Macaca mulatta: one gene and its partners. The protein of the gene in region 4 purifies or fractionates together with the protein of the main gene of each other region. This does not show direct contact. Links are inferred from orthologs where the notes say so. Each region holds a gene or a part of one and is shown on either strand. Other genes may lie near its edges. The genes, in order: CNNM4, RABGGTB, CNNM2 and PTP4A2.

What was found.
Region 1: the proteins of PTP4A2 (region 4) and CNNM4 purify together in Homo sapiens (affinity purification with mass spectrometry; 6 studies listed by BioGRID and IntAct, counting the BioPlex papers as one, with this or other methods). This does not show direct contact. The link is inferred for Macaca mulatta from reciprocal best matches to the Homo sapiens genes PTP4A2 and CNNM4.
Region 2: the proteins of PTP4A2 (region 4) and RABGGTB purify together in Homo sapiens (affinity purification with mass spectrometry; 3 studies listed by BioGRID and IntAct, counting the BioPlex papers as one, with this or other methods). This does not show direct contact. The link is inferred for Macaca mulatta from reciprocal best matches to the Homo sapiens genes PTP4A2 and RABGGTB.
Region 3: the proteins of PTP4A2 (region 4) and CNNM2 purify together in Homo sapiens (affinity purification with mass spectrometry; 4 studies listed by BioGRID and IntAct, counting the BioPlex papers as one, with this or other methods). This does not show direct contact. The link is inferred for Macaca mulatta from reciprocal best matches to the Homo sapiens genes PTP4A2 and CNNM2.

What each region holds. Positions count from the first base shown.
Region 1 is NC_133418.1:5,456,778-5,460,342, forward strand, and holds part of CNNM4 (metal transporter CNNM4 precursor), read left to right. Parts: intron 1-462; coding exon 463-632; intron 633-975; coding exon 976-1,072; intron 1,073-2,475; coding exon of another isoform or gene 2,476-2,538; intron 2,539-3,565. UniProt on the Homo sapiens protein: Probable metal transporter. The interaction with the metal ion chaperone COX11 suggests that it may play a role in sensory neuron functions. May play a role in biomineralization and retinal function.
Region 2 is NC_133406.1:164,782,352-164,785,505, reverse strand, and holds the end of RABGGTB (geranylgeranyl transferase type-2 subunit beta), read left to right. Parts: intron 1-37; coding exon 38-163; intron 164-1,964; coding exon 1,965-2,114; intron 2,115-2,389; coding exon 2,390-2,530; 3' UTR 2,531-2,637; downstream 2,638-3,154. UniProt on the Homo sapiens protein: Catalyzes the transfer of a geranylgeranyl moiety from geranylgeranyl diphosphate to both cysteines of Rab proteins with the C-terminal sequence -XXCC, -XCXC and -CCXX, such as RAB1A, RAB3A, RAB5A and RAB7A.
Region 3 is NC_133414.1:115,055,458-115,059,507, reverse strand, and holds the start of CNNM2 (metal transporter CNNM2), read right to left. Parts: upstream 2,836-4,050; 5' UTR 2,668-2,835; coding exon 1,047-2,667; intron 1-1,046.
Region 4 is NC_133406.1:208,945,210-208,949,326, forward strand, and holds the start of PTP4A2 (protein tyrosine phosphatase type IVA 2), read left to right. Parts: upstream 1-1,287; 5' UTR 1,288-1,505; coding exon of another isoform or gene 1,506-1,529; intron 1,530-4,117.

The DNA of each region.
Region 1 (3,565 bases), on a different chromosome or scaffold from region 4:
TTCATCTTCCTTCCCACCCCTTACTTGCTAAAGGGATGGTAATTCCCTCTCCATTATTTTTCCTGTGGGATATCGATGCTGATGCAATAATTATAGTCACATATACTAAGCGCTGTCCACGTGCTATCCCATTCGCCCTCACAACCACCCTGTGAAGCTTTTACCCCCATATTACAGATGAGGAGACTGAGATGCGGGTTATGTAATTTGCCCAAGGTCACGTGCGATTCTTGCAGGAGCCACTGTTCAAGCCCGGGCAGGCAGGCAGGCAGCCTCGGGTCCATCCAGTCAGAAGCCAAGCGTGCTCCCTCCCCAGGGAGATACAGAACTGAGGGCCGGCCGAGCAGGGAGGGAGTCTGGCCACAGCGCGGCTACTGTGGTTGGGGTGGACGCACAACAGTGATCCAGCTTTAGGGCCACCCGGCCAGCCCCGTGTAAGGTCTCCTCTCTGTCCTCCTACAGAGGTCCCCCAGTTTAGCCCCTCCCTGATATCAGAGAAGATCCTGCTGCGGCTGCTCAAGTACCCAGATGTCATTCAGGAACTCAAGTTTGATGAGCATAATAAGTACTACGCCCGCCATTACCTGTACACCCGAAATAAGCCGGCCGACTACTTCATCCTCATTCTGCAGGTGAGCCCACTCAGCCCTGGGCCTGCCGCCTGCTCCCCCTGGCACCGCAGCACCCCTCGGGCCCTCTTTCCCACCTGCTGCGGAGGTGCATGGCTTCCCGGCCTGGGGAGCCTGCCGCCTGCCCTCGAGCCCCACCTGCCCCACGTGGCTGTGCTCTCCCTGACAGGATGAAGGAGAGGCTGTGCTCTCCCTTAATCCCACAGGTCAGGCCCCTGAGCTCTCCAGGGCTCCAGTACCGGCCCTTCCTCCTGCCCCACCATCCCTTGTTCCTTACTCCCCATCCTGCCTCATCCTTTCTTTCCTCCCTCACTCTGTCTCTAACCCCAGCCCTGTGTGTTTTCAGGGGAAGGTGGAGGTGGAGGCAGGGAAGGAGAACATGAAGTTTGAGACGGGCGCCTTTTCCTACTATGGGACTATGGCCCTGACCTCGGTCCCCTCTGGTGAGTTGTTGGGCAGGGTCTGTGCTGCACTCTGGCCCCCTGCAGCTGGGGAGCCGTGGACAGACACCAGAACTGAGCGTGGGCCCGAGAGCTCATAGCCAGTTGGCTGGGGCAGAGGGAGGCTTGTGAGGTGGGAGCCGCCAGGGCCTGGAGTGGGTGGTATGGAGGAGCGGAGGGAGCTGCCCCTTTGGATGGAGTCCAGAAACTGGAGGGGAAGAGAGGAGAGAGGGATTTTAGAGCAAAGGCCAGGAGGCAGTGGAGGGCATGTCCAGAGGTGGTGAGGAGACCAGTCTGCCTGGGGAGGAGGCCTGTGGGGAGGAAGGCCCAGGGCCCTGCTCCTGAGGACAGGAGGGGAGTCTGGGCGTCCAAAGTGCCTGAGGTCAGGAGCCAGGCGAGGGCCTGTTTGCCAGGGCAGGCTACAGATGGGTTTGGCTTTCCGAGGGACGCGGCTACTGGGTTTTGGTTAGAGGTCAGCTCCGATGGAATAAAGGGCCTTGGGGACAGACAGAAGGGAGACTGGGCACCCCCTGAGAGGTGTGATGGAAGGTGTGGGGACGCGCCGCTCTGGCCGCCCCAGTGCCCTCTCCGGTGCTGAGTGGCTCAGGCTTTCCCCGCAGAGCCCCGCAGACAAAGCCCTGCAGGCCCAGGCCTCGCCAGCTCATCTCCTCGCTCCTCTCCAGCCTTCGGTCCTGGGGCGAGGCTGCTGCAGGGTAGAGAGAGAAAGTCCACTTTGGTGCTGGAGAACAGGCCACGCCAGTGGGGTACATGCTGCAGTTCCCAGAGCAGCTCTGTGCTGTGCCTCATTGTCCTTTGACAGAAAGGACCCCGAGGGGGCATGGGGGTAGGGCACCCATGAATATTGACACCCAGCTCAGCTTACCCACCGTGTCGTCGGCCCCTCCACCAGATGAGTGGGGCATGGCAGGCTCCCTGGGCAGGGGACAGACAGGGCCCCAGAGAGGGGCTCTGAGCAGGTGGACCCTGCCAGATGCCTGAGGCCTGGGGAGGACTTCCTGTGCCTCCAAGAGCAGCTGTTCTCTGTTCAGCTTGAGGAAATCTCATTCAGAAGGGCGGGCAGGCACGGGAGGCCTCCCCCAGGCACTGCTTGTGCAACGAAGCCTCGGAGGCCTGGTCCCTCCACCCGTAGTCTCTCTGTTCCCACTTAGTGTGGCCAGAAGGGAGGGGAGATGACTGGGCATACTCAGCCAGCTTCTGCCCATCTCCGCACAGGGCTCATTGCTGTGCCCTGAGCACCCTTCACATCAGAGCCACGTCCCTTTCTCCACTGGGCCCGTCTCTGCCCAAAGCAGCCTGGCCCCGTCAGGTCTGCCTCTGTCCTGTGCCTGTGGCTCCGTGTCCTGTCTCCTGACTGTGCCCATCACTGACCTTCTCTTTTGCTCCAGTGCCTTCAGTCCAGGTCGGGTGTCCGCCTGGCAAGCGGAACTCCCTGCTCTGCTGGCTCACAGGTAACGTGGCATGTCTGAGGGGCACGCTGCTGCCTGCTGCCTGAGCCTGCACACTGCGGCTGCATTTACCTCCCCGCAGGGACCGGGCGCCGCCTGTTCAGTGTTGGCCGCCCGACCTCAGTGGCTCCGACCTCAGTGGCTCTGCTTGGCTGGGGCCCAATTTCTGGGCAGCTTTGCTGCCTCAGCTCTAGAAGGGGCCCCCAAAGGTCTCTTAGTCCTTGAGATCACACACCCATAGACACATACACACAGAGACACACAGATACCACACACAGATATACACACCCACAGACACACACACACACAGAGACACACAGATACCACACAGAGATATACATACCCACAGACACACACACACACACACACACAGACACACAGTGAGATACCACACACAGATATACACACCCACAGACACACACACACACAGACACACAGTGAGATACCACACACAGATATACACACCCACAGACACACACACACACACAGTGAGATACCACACACAGATATACACACCCACAGACACACACACACACACACAGACACACAGATACCACACACAGATATACACACCCACAGACACACACACACACACAGACACAGTGAGATACCACACACAGATATACACACCCACAGACACACACACACACACAGACACACAGTGAGATACCACACACAGATATACACACCCACAGACACACACACACACAAAGACAGATACCACACACAGATATACACACCCACAGACACACACACACACAGACAGATATCACACACAGATATACACACCCACAGACACACATACACACAGAGACACACAGTGAGATACCACACACAGATATACACACCCACAGACACACACACACACAGAGACAGATACCACACACAGATATACACACCCACACACACACACACAGAGACACACAGTGAGATACCACACACAGATATACACACCCACAGACACACACACACACAGAGACACACAGTGAGATACCACACACAGATATACACACCCACAGACACACACACA
Region 2 (3,154 bases), about 44 Mb from region 4:
ATTATTATACACATATACTTTATGTCTGTAATTTTAGATCTATTGTTGCACAGGATTTCTGGCTATTACAAGTCAGTTGCATCAAGTAAATTCTGATTTACTTGGCTGGTGGCTTTGTGAACGACAGTTACCTTCAGGCGGGCTCAATGGAAGGCCAGAGAAGGTATTGTTTGATAAGCTCTGTTCTGCTGACTTTAGAACCTTGAGTGAATGCTGCAGCTTTGTCTTGCCTATTTCAATATTGTAAATTGGCCATGAGCTTATTTATTAACTTTCCCTCTTGCAAATTTTCAGTAATGCGTCCTACTAAAAGACTCCCCTTGGCAAAAGTAGAGCCCCGTGAGTTGAAATACTCATTGATCCTGATGTCCATTTCCAGACAGTCTTGCACAGGAATCTCCATGTTTAAGGACAGTTGGTTTTGGCAAATTGGATTTTTAAAAAATTAGGCTACAGAATTTTTGTTTACAGTCTTCTTATTTAAGGAATACCCAGATAATTTAGTTTGGAGAGAGGATATTATTAAATTTTCCTCCACATGATAGGTCCCTATATCAGGTCTGTAAGGGACAAACAGTGAATACTCATTTGCAACTATGTGATTTTCCTGTAGAGCAAGTGCAGCCATAAGTGGTAAGAAATGAATGGGTATGACTGTTCCAGTTAAAATTATTATGGACAGATATACTTATTTCATATGTCAGATTTTTTTTTTTTTTTTTTTTTTTTTTTGAGATGGAATCTTGCTCTGTTGCTCAGGCTGGAGTGAAGTGGCGCCATCTCAGTTCACTGCAACCTCCGCCTCCCAGGTTCAAGCAGTTCTCCTGCCTCAGCCTCCCGAGCAGCTGGGACTACAGGCGCACAGCTAATTTTTGTACTTTTATTAGGGACGGGGTTTCACCATATTGGCCAGGCTGGTCTCGAACTCCTGACTTTGTGATCCGCCTGACTCAGCCTTCCAGAGTGCTGGGATTACAGGCGTGAGCCACTGCGCCTGACCCAGGACTATTTTTAAATGATTTACAAATGTAAAATGTGTTCCTACACTATAGTCTAGATTTGACTCAAGGATTGTAGCTTGCTGTGCCCTCTGAATGGGACGTGGTGGTACAGTAGCTGGGATTACAGGCGTGCGCCACCACGCCCATCTAATTTTGTATTTTTAGTAGAGATGGGGTTTCATCATGTTAGTCAGGCTGGTCTCAAACCCCTGACCTCAGGTGATCCACCCTCCTAAGCCTCCCAAAGTGCTGGGAGTACAGGCATGAGCCACCGTGCTCAGCCTGTATTTTTATTTTTAAACCTCAGTTTTTCTGAGTGACAATGGGCAGAGAAACACCCACAGTTGCTGTCTACAACAGAGTGGAATAAAAAACTTGAGGAACTGTCAACAGAAAAATGGGTGGCCGTGCCTGGGCCTGCATTTGCTCACGATCTAGGGCAGCTTCTAATGGGTCTATGCGTTATTCAAGGATCTCATTAAAATGCAGCCTTGGGTGGGATTTTCTTCCTTACAGACTTATGTCACCATATTTTGAAGAGCTAGAGTTTAGTTGAATTTTAAGCAGGTGTGTACCCACCTGGACAGTGCTGGTAGAAAAACAGAACTGTACCCATGGATTTCATGATTATACTACTAGCTTCTTGGTTAAGGGGCTGAGTTAGGCATTTGTTGCAGATAGAAACAAGGTAGATGCACGCTTATCAGTGAGTACTGAGATATTTAGCATGGTTACCTATGAATTGGAGTTTGGTCTCTTCTTACCCATTAATTGATTATCTTTCATTCTAAGCAAGTATTTCATACCCTACATGTCAGTATATCCCTGGATTTCGTCCCTCCACATGGTTTGACACTTAGAACATCAGATTACTTGAGAGTGAGACTTAATCCACTTTTAAATTGTTCTCAAAATTAGGGAAATAAAAGAGAATGAAATTGTGGCAACTTTTTTCCCTCCTAGTTACCAGATGTATGCTATTCATGGTGGGTCCTGGCTTCCCTAAAGATAATTGGAAGACTTCATTGGATTGATAGAGAGAAACTACGTAATTTCATTTTAGCATGTCAAGATGAAGAAACGGGGGGATTTGCAGACAGGCCAGGAGATATGGCAAGTAATATTTCTGACATATTTGTATAAATTATTTTAGTGTCGCATTCCTTCATGGTTCCATGGATTTCCAGGGTGGTATTCCAAGTGTTGCTTTGAAAGCAGTGTTTTTTTCTATTTCTCGTAGAATGTATGAAGGATATAGAACAATCTTACAGAAATTTCTTGTCGCCTGTTGCTAACAAAATTAGTATATGGTAAAGGTCAGGTATTAATGATTTGAAGTTAAAGAAGTTTTCATTTTGTAATCTGTATATAAATTCTTTTTTAAATAGGTGGATCCTTTTCATACCTTATTTGGAATTGCTGGATTGTCACTTTTGGGAGAAGAACAGATTAAACCTGTTAATCCTGTCTTTTGCATGCCTGAAGAAGTGCTTCAGAGAGTGAATGTTCAGCCTGAGCTAGTGAGCTAGATTCATTAAAGTGAAAGCTGCATAGTATAGTTTTGCCATTTTAACATTTCTGTATTTGAAGTGCTTATTAAATCTAAAAATGAATACTGTTAATATTTTGTACATTGTGTTAAATTAATTTTAATAAATTATATAATTATACATATTGTAAAATAAAGACCTGTATTTTATTTTCTGCTCTTTATTCTGAAGTCCTGTTATTCTGACTACAGTTTTTTGTGTATACTTTTGTGTCTGTTATTTATGTTCAATAACTGAGCTAATGTAGAAGAACTCTAGGTTTCTACTTGATTTTTCTCCCATGTATACCTTTCATGTGTTCTATAGCAAGTTGATGTAAAATGGTTTGTCAACAAGAATGTTAACTGATGAAAGTGGATAGAACCCATACATGAATTAAATGATGCACAAAATAAATGGTTGTTGAAATTTGGAAATGATTCATAGGTTTGAATATGGTTATTCTGAATTAGTCACAGACTTAGGTTAAATGGCAGTCTACCATCTTAAAATGGGGTTGTGATTCGGACTGTACATATTTTTTAGCATTTTATATATCAGAATTACCCAAGGAAGGGGTTACCTTCAAATAAGGAAACACTAACAGTTGAGTTGATGGTCGCC
Region 3 (4,050 bases), on a different chromosome or scaffold from region 4:
AATAGTACAAGTTGCTATTTACCTGTTCATTATATGGTCAAGCGAACAAATACCACAATGCAAGAAATGATGTGTTGTATAATTTCTCACCTTGGAACAGTGAGAGTTGACGGAGACATAATTCAGTTTAATGTATCGGATGACCAAGGTGGAAAAAAAGAACACTTAGACTGAAAGAGTCAAGAAATAAATAAGCCCCAATAGAGGGATTCATCCCACTGTTAAAGGTGCAAGCTTTCTGCCAAAATCACACTTGGTTTGGGCAACTGTAACTATTGTCAGATAAACGTAAACAAATAGTGAAGAAGGCTACGGGACATACAGCCTCTTCACAAAAGGCTGGCTAACCGCTAGTCTTTCCAAGTTACATATTAGTAATTTTAATTTAAAACAACAACAACAACAACACTTTTCTAGCTAAGAGAAGTCACATCGAAAATGGGTGATTTTTTTTGGCGATACTTAGTTTACCCCGCCCCTTACCCTCAAAGGCAGACCTCAATCTTCCCCGTAAGTTGCCAGGCAAGCAGGAACAGAAGCTATAGAAAATGTACTTCGATCTTTGAAAGGCCAGTGTGGATGTTTAAGGAGAAGGAAAACGACTGCACTGAGTTTACAAAAGCTATTTACATGTTTTCCAAATGCCTGTGATTAAAGTCAACCAAATGGCATGGCATCAGCCAGCCCCTACCTTCACCTACCCACTGAGAACCCAGACAATGAAGGCGGCAGACCCCTCAAGCACAGAGGCCCCACACACGGAACCAAAAAAAAAAAAGTGTCATGCACAGAAATTACACAGCCTGCTTTTTGATAATGGTAAAAAGTAAGTGATGGCAGTCTTGTGCTTTAAAATAACCTAGTAGCACTTACTAGTTCAATCCATCCCCAAATCCACGCCACCCTTTCAACTTTGCAATTAAGAGAGAGAAGGAGAAATCCCGGTCAACTCGCCTTGGGGGGTTGGTCTGAGGGTAGAGGGCTCAAGTAGGGAAGAGGATGGAGAGAGAAAGAGCAAGCCAATGAAAGAGACCAAAATTTCCCACCTTTCTTAAATTCTTCCAGCATAGCGTCCAACTTGGTGTCATTGAAAACAAAGTGCAAGGGGTGGTTATAAAATTTGGTGATGGTTTTCAGGGGAGTACAGTCATCTGGATCCACGAAGGCCAAGTCTTTGACGAACAGCAGGTCCACGATATTGGAGCGCTCCCCTTCAAACACTGGAATGCGGGTGTAGCCGCTCTCCATGATCTCAGACATGGTGTTGAAATCCAGGATGGCTTCGCCAGTGATCATGAAGCAGTCCCGGAGTGGGGTCATCACGTCCTCCACCGTCTTGGTGCGGAGCTCCAGCGCCCCTTGGATGATGTTCAGTTCCTCCTTAACGAGGTCGTTGTAGGGGTCGGTGACCCGGAGCATCTCCAGCAGTTTTTCCCGGTTATAGACGGTGCCTATCTCCTGGCCTAGGACGCAGTCCAGCAGCTTGCTGACCGGGTAGGAAGCGGGGAAGGTCATCATCATGAAAAACTTGGTGAGGAAGATGGTGTTGGCCCCCACAGCCAGGCCGTGGCGGGAGCAGATGGCCTGGGGCACTATCTCCCCGAAGATGACGATGCCGATGGTGGAGACCACCACGGCCACGAGGCCCGAGCCGGCGATGTCGTCGAGCAGGATGGTGAGCGTGGTGTTGACCAGCACGTTGCCCAGCAGCAGTGAGCACAGCAGGTAGTTGCCTTGCCTGCGCACCGGCTCGATGCGCTTGGCGTAATTCTTCTCCTTCTCCGTGCCGCAGTTCTGCACGATGCGCAGCTCCATCGGGTCCAGGGCCATGAGCCCCAGGTTGAGGCCACTGAACATGCCCGACAGGCACAGCAGCAGCGAAATGAAGATCACCTGCAGCCAGAAGGGCAGCAGGAATTTCTTCTCTTCGCCTACGATCATCTTGGTGTCCTCGCCGTCGTGGTAAATCCAGGTGGTCTCGGCCCACGGGGGTGGCGGGAGCCCGGCCACCCCCGAGCCGCCCTTGCCCCCGACGGTGCCACCCGCGGATCCCGAGCCGCCGGCACCCAGGGCGGGCGTGGAGAGCGACGTGCACAGGTAATAGGACTTGCTCTTCTCCATCTTGCGTAGCGGTTTGATCTCGATCTCGATGATGCCCGAGGTGCGGCGGTTGAGAATGATGTGGGGCAAGATGATGATGTCTGAGGTGCGGATGCCGCAGCGCTGGGGGCCGCTGTCCGGCTCCGGCGGCGCGGGGCCCCCCAGCCCGCGCTCCCCCGGGCTGTGGCGCCGCCGCTCGTGTTCGGTGAAGGCGATGCGGGACCACGTCTCGTTGTTGATGTTCTGCCCGTACACCCGCAGCTTGACCCGGGTCCGTTCGCTCACCCGCAGCGCCCCCCCTTCCATGAACGACACGTCGTTCGTGTCCTCCAGCCGCAGCCCGATGATCACCGTCTCCTCGTTCTCGCCCACCGCTGCGCAGCCGCCCGCGCCGCAGCAGCAGCTCAGCAGGAGCAGCGGCAGCAGCCGCCCCGCAGCCGCCTGCAGGACCCCCCGGCCGCGGGCGCTGAGGCTGCGGCGCGCCGCCATCTTCCAAGTGGGCAGTGCGGCGGCTGCCTGCCCGCCCGCCATCTTTACTTTGGGTTCACAAGCGCCACAGCCAATCATAGGGTGGCTGCTCCAGCTGCGGCTTCATCCTTTCCACCCGGCGGCGCGAGCGCAGGTACCTGCCCCTGGGCGAGACTGCAACTGAGCGTCCGCGGCCAGTGCTCAGCAGTTCGCCTCCCTGACTGACACTGACTCGACCTCGGCCAGCTGAGGAACCCCGAGGCTCGCGGGAGGGGACAGAGGGAGGGAGAGGAGCGCCGGCTGCTCCCGCGAGAGGCAGGCCCACTGGCCAATCACAAGCGGGCGCCCGCCCTCCCAGCCAGGGGGCTGGAATGGGGGCGTGACCGTGTGCCGTTCCGCGAACCAATGGCAAGGTAAATGGGTGGGGCGATGAGAGCCACCGTCCCCCTCTGCACGCCAAGTTTCCAACTGAAAGGCGCGTGACTCTTGTGTATGTGCGAGGGGAGGGGGCGTGGCCAGCTGGGACTCGAGAGCCAGTCAAAGATGAGAGTTGTAGGAAAGGGGCGTGGCCTCCGTCCTGCTGCCAATGGGAAGGAGCCGTCCCCGGGGCCCGCGCTCCCCGGGGGACCCTGTAGTAGATCCGGGAGCCTGGACCGGCCGGGCTTGGACTAAAGCCCTGCGGCGCAAGGCGGCAGGTTCCCGATGCACTGGCTTGCTGGCTCTGCAGTTGTCAGTTCGTGGGCAGAAAGCCGCAGCGCCCTCCTGCCCCGGGGGCCCGAGAAGCCAACTAGAGGCGGCTTGGGATGCACACAGCCTAAAAAGCCGGGGCACCGGCCGCTGTCCCCAACTCTACGTGCGCGGCGCTCCGCTGGGGTAAGCGGCGTCGGTGGCCCCGGCACAGCTGCCGACCAGCAGTCCTCGCGCCTCAAGACTCCTAGGGTACGCGCTCTCTGCGGCTCGCGATCACATGGCGCCACCTGCGGGCCGCAGGGGCGCCCTGCAACGCTTTCCAGGTCCGCGGCATACCCCGAAAGGTGTACAGAAAGTTACGGATGGCGCGGTCAGAGGGACAGTTCCCCAAATTTGCTAGTCATAGAACCCCTACATATTATTACTAAAAGTATATACTTCCTAGACCCTTTTCCATATTTACAGAGTGGGAAGGGCCCCGAATCTGTATTCCCAACAGGAACCCAGGCAAGTTAAGGAAATGGGAGGGCGGCAAGCATCCTATCCTAAGCAGACCCGCAGAGGCTCATTCTTAATCACACTGGCCAAACTCTGCTAGGGTCATAGGTCACTCAAGAGCAAAAAGTTCTGGAAACCTAGCTCCCCAGTACTCCCAGCGTCACCTGGAGGTGACGAGGTAGCAAAGTAGCTGTCAAATTGATCTTTTCCTTGAAACTTAAAACATTAAAAATGTTTAATGTTTCTCTACCTCTTTTGTATTCTACAAGCACATTCCGGCCCCCCCCCCCCGCC
Region 4 (4,117 bases):
GGTTCCACTATGTTGGCCAGGCTTGTCTCGAACTCCTGACCTAGTGATCCGCCCGCCTCGGCCTCCCAAAGTGCTGGGATTACAGGCATGAGCCACCGCGCCCGGCCTTTCTCAAGTGTTTTCATACGTTATTATCGATCGTGAAAGCGCCCATGAGGTTGCTGATTATTATTTCTTTCTTTTTTTTTTTTTTGAGACGGAGTCTCGCTTTGTCGCCCAGGCTGGAGTGCAGTGGCCGGATCTCAGCTCACTGCAAGCTCCGCCTCGCGGGTTTACGCCATTCTCCTGCCTCAGCCTCCCGAGTAGCTGGGACTACAGGCGCCCACCACCTCGCCCGGCTAGTTTTTTGTATTTTTAGTAGAGACGGGGTTTCACCATATTAGCCAGGATGGTCTCGATCTCCTGACCTCGTGATCCGCCCGTCTCGGCCTCCCAAAGTGCTGGGATTACAGGCTTGAGCCACCGCGCCCGGCCTATTATTTCCACTTTATAGTTGATAATACTTGGAGAGAGGGAATCACTTGCCCAAGATCCTACATCCTGAAAGTCTGAATTTTGGCTTGTCAGGGACAGTTCTTAGAATGTGTGTGTGTCTTGTGGGCAGAGCCGGGGGTGGCGTATTAATATCCTCCACGAAGATGCACACGCTATTTATTTGGGGCCTCAGGAAGGGCAGCCAAGAACTGAGCTGCCCGGGTTCCCACTTCTGAGTTGGAAATCCCCAAGCACAGGACTTGGTGGCCACCCTGTCCCATCAGGATCTGACCCCAGGCCTGACGGCCTAGGAGCGAGAAAGAACCCTTCGACCTTGCGGGTCACACCTCGGCTGCAGGCCCTCGACCCAGCCCAGGTGCGGATGGGCGGGGCGCAGCGTGGGCGAACGACTCCCCAGGCCACGTTCTGCTTTTCCCTCCCCGGTCACATGGACTCGCCTTCCGTAGCCGGGAGTGCGGAGCAGAACGAACCACCAGGAGGAGGAGCGGGGGAGGTGCCCAGGGCAGTGGGTCAGAGCCCCGCGGGGCAGGTGGGCGGGCCCAACCGCCCGCGAGCCGGCCGGCCAGCCAGTCAGCGAACGCGGAGGGCGGGTCAGCTGCCCATTGAGCCGCGCCCCGCAGCGCCCCCTGAGGGGCGGCGGCGGGAGCTGGTTCCGGCTGCGCGCGCAGCGGTGGTGGCGGCGGCGCGATCGGCCGGGCTGTAACCGTCGTCCGTCCGGGAGTGGCTGGAGCGGCAGCGGCGGCCGGGCACGGCGCGAGGCGACGCCACAGGGCAGCGGCGGCAGCGGGGGCAGCGGCGGCAGCAGGAGACGCAGCGGCGACCGCAGCAGCAGCAGCAAGACGGACTCGTGGAGACGCGCCGCCGCCGCCGCCGCCGGGCCGGGCCGGGTGTCGCGCGCCGAGGCTGGGGGGGAGTCGTCGCCGCCGCCGCCACCGCTACCGCCGCCGCCGCCGCCGCCGAGGTGACTGAGGAGAGAGGCGCCTCCTCGCTCCCGCCGCCGCCGGACTTCAATGCCCAGTCCCCAGCTCGCCAGCGTGAGTGCGCCCCTCCCGGGCGGCCCCCGCGCCGGCGCCGGGGGCCTCGGGGAAGGGGAGGGCGGGAGGCGCTGCAGCCATTAGTACAGGCCGGAGACACGTCCCCGGAAGGAGGGCCGGGCCGGGCCGGGGCGGGGGAGCGAGGGTGGGTGAGCGAGGGGCGGGCTCGTGTGTGTGGAAGGGGGAGAGCTGTGCGAGCGTGGGGGAGAGTGTGAGTTGGTGAAGGGAGGGCGTGTGAGTGGGGGACAGGGCTAAGTGTGCGAGGAGGTGGGGGGAGTGGGAGCGGGTCGGGGGACAGTGTCGATGTTGGGGGAGTGTGGGTGCAGGCGAGGGAGGGTATGGGTGTGCGGGGAGCGTGTGGGCATGAGGGGTGGGGGTACATGAGTGAGAAGTGGGGGAGGAGAGAGTTGAGAGTGTGGTAGAGAGCGAGTGTAGGGGGAGAACATGGTGTGTGTCGGTGAGAAGGTGCGTGGCAGAGGCGGGAGTGTGGCAGGGTGTGCCGGCGTGTGTCCAGTGTGTGAGCAGGCATCCTGGAGGCCCTTCCTCTTCGTCTTTGTGTGTGGCGATAGTGAACCGTGGTGTGTTGGGTTAGGGAGTTCTTTCCGGGAGCATCTTGTCCCTGGGTGCTCAGGTTCAAGTATGAGGAAAGGGGGTATAAGTCTCTTCTAGTGGCACTATGATCTTCTGGCTCTGGGATTTTAATTTTTTTCCCCCCCAGAAAAGATGTGATGTGTTTTTTTTGTTGTTGTTCTATACGTTTTTTTTCTCCCACGTTTCATAACTTCAAAGTAAATTTTCAAATTAGTCAAGGATGCCATCCTATCCTAGTCTGGGTCCCTGAGAGCTAACGAAAAGAAGTGTGTCTGTTGCCCAAGAGCCTACACTCTGGCCTGTAGAGTGTTCAGGAGCATAAACTTTTGTAAAGTACTGCTAGTTTTTCAGGTGAAGAGTATTTTATTGTTAGGTAAATTAAACTATAGGCTAGTTTATTATTTCCTGGAATTTGTCAAGAAATTAGCAGTGACCCGCAGTTCTAGTGTCACTGTAGGCATTCAGCAAATGTTTGTCTGGAGTCACCAAACTACAACCACTGCTGAGTTGGAATATGGTACTTGCTGTCATGCTCTGTAACAGAGTAGTTTCAGAGGGAAGTGAGTGAAGTTATGCCTTGCCGAATGTGCAAAAGGAAATTAAGGATGCAGAATGACACATTATCAGGGCTTCAGAATCACTTGCCAGCACACCATTGTATTGGTGAAGATGGTGAGAAGTTGTTTGCTGGTATTCTGATCTTGGCATTTTTAAGTTTCATAATGAATGGACTAATTATTGTCATGGACTTTTCCCATTCTTGAGTTGTAAAAGTAGGGATTCTTGATGAAGAGTAGTACCTCGATAGGGATTTTACACTTTGATATAATATTAAAAATGATGTTATCTTAAAAATAATTGTCTCTTAGAAGTTGGTAGTCTTTCAGTATAAGCAAAAAGTAGTATGGTCCTTTTGTTGTTGTTGTTTTTTTTTTGAGATGGAGTTTTGCTCTGTTGCCCAGGCTTCCCAGGTTCAAGTAATCTCCCGCCTCAGCCTCCCAAGTAGCTGAGAATACAAGTGTGCGCCACCACACCCAGCTAATTTTCATAGTTTTAGTAGAGACGGGGTTTCACCTTGTTGGCCAGGCTGGTCTCGAACTCCTGACCGCCACTGATTCACCTGCCTTGGCCTCCCAAAGTGCTGGGATTAACAGGCGCGAGGGTGGTCCTTTTGATCGTGAACATAATAGAATTACAGGCAAAATCATTGATGTGTAATTAAAAGTTAGAATTTATATTTTTCGGCTGGGCGTGGTGGCTCACGCCTGTAATCCTAGCACTTTGGGAGGCTGAGGCAGGAGGATCGATTGAGCCCAGGAGTTCAAGACCAGCCTGGGCAACGTGGTGACTCCATTTCTACAGAAAATACAAAAGTTAGGCATGGTAGTATGTGCCTGTAGTTCCAGCTATCCTGGAGGCTGAGGCGAGAGGAACTTGTGATTTCAGGAAGTCAAGGCTGTAGTGAGCCAGTGAGACCCTCTCTCAAAAAAATAAGAAAGAAATAGTAAATAGTATTGTTACTATTCAGTGAGGGAAGGAATTAATTAGTGTTAATTGCCTACTGTGCTACAGGTGCTTTTTATATTCATTTAATTCTCACAACTACAAGAAAGGTGGTCTCTTCATTTGCATCCATTTGGCTTATTTTGAACCACTTCTGTTTGCCCGGCACTAGGGATACAGCGATGAGCTCCCATGGATTTACAGTGGTGAGAAGAAGAGATACAGAAACTTAAAAGGTTAAGTAACTTGTCCCAGGTCACACAGATAAGAAGAATTAGTGCTGGATTAAAAATCCAGGTCTTTGACTCCAAAGCTGTTGATTTTTCCAATACATCATACTGCTGTTTCAATAGCTCATCTTACATTGAGGTTTCTCATCCACATGATGACCTAGCAGCTTGTACTTAGGAGAGCTGTTGAAATAGAGAAGGCTGGAGGCAAGGGGATCATTTAGGAGATGCTGACTGGAGGCTCTTTGGGGCCTAAGCTAGGCT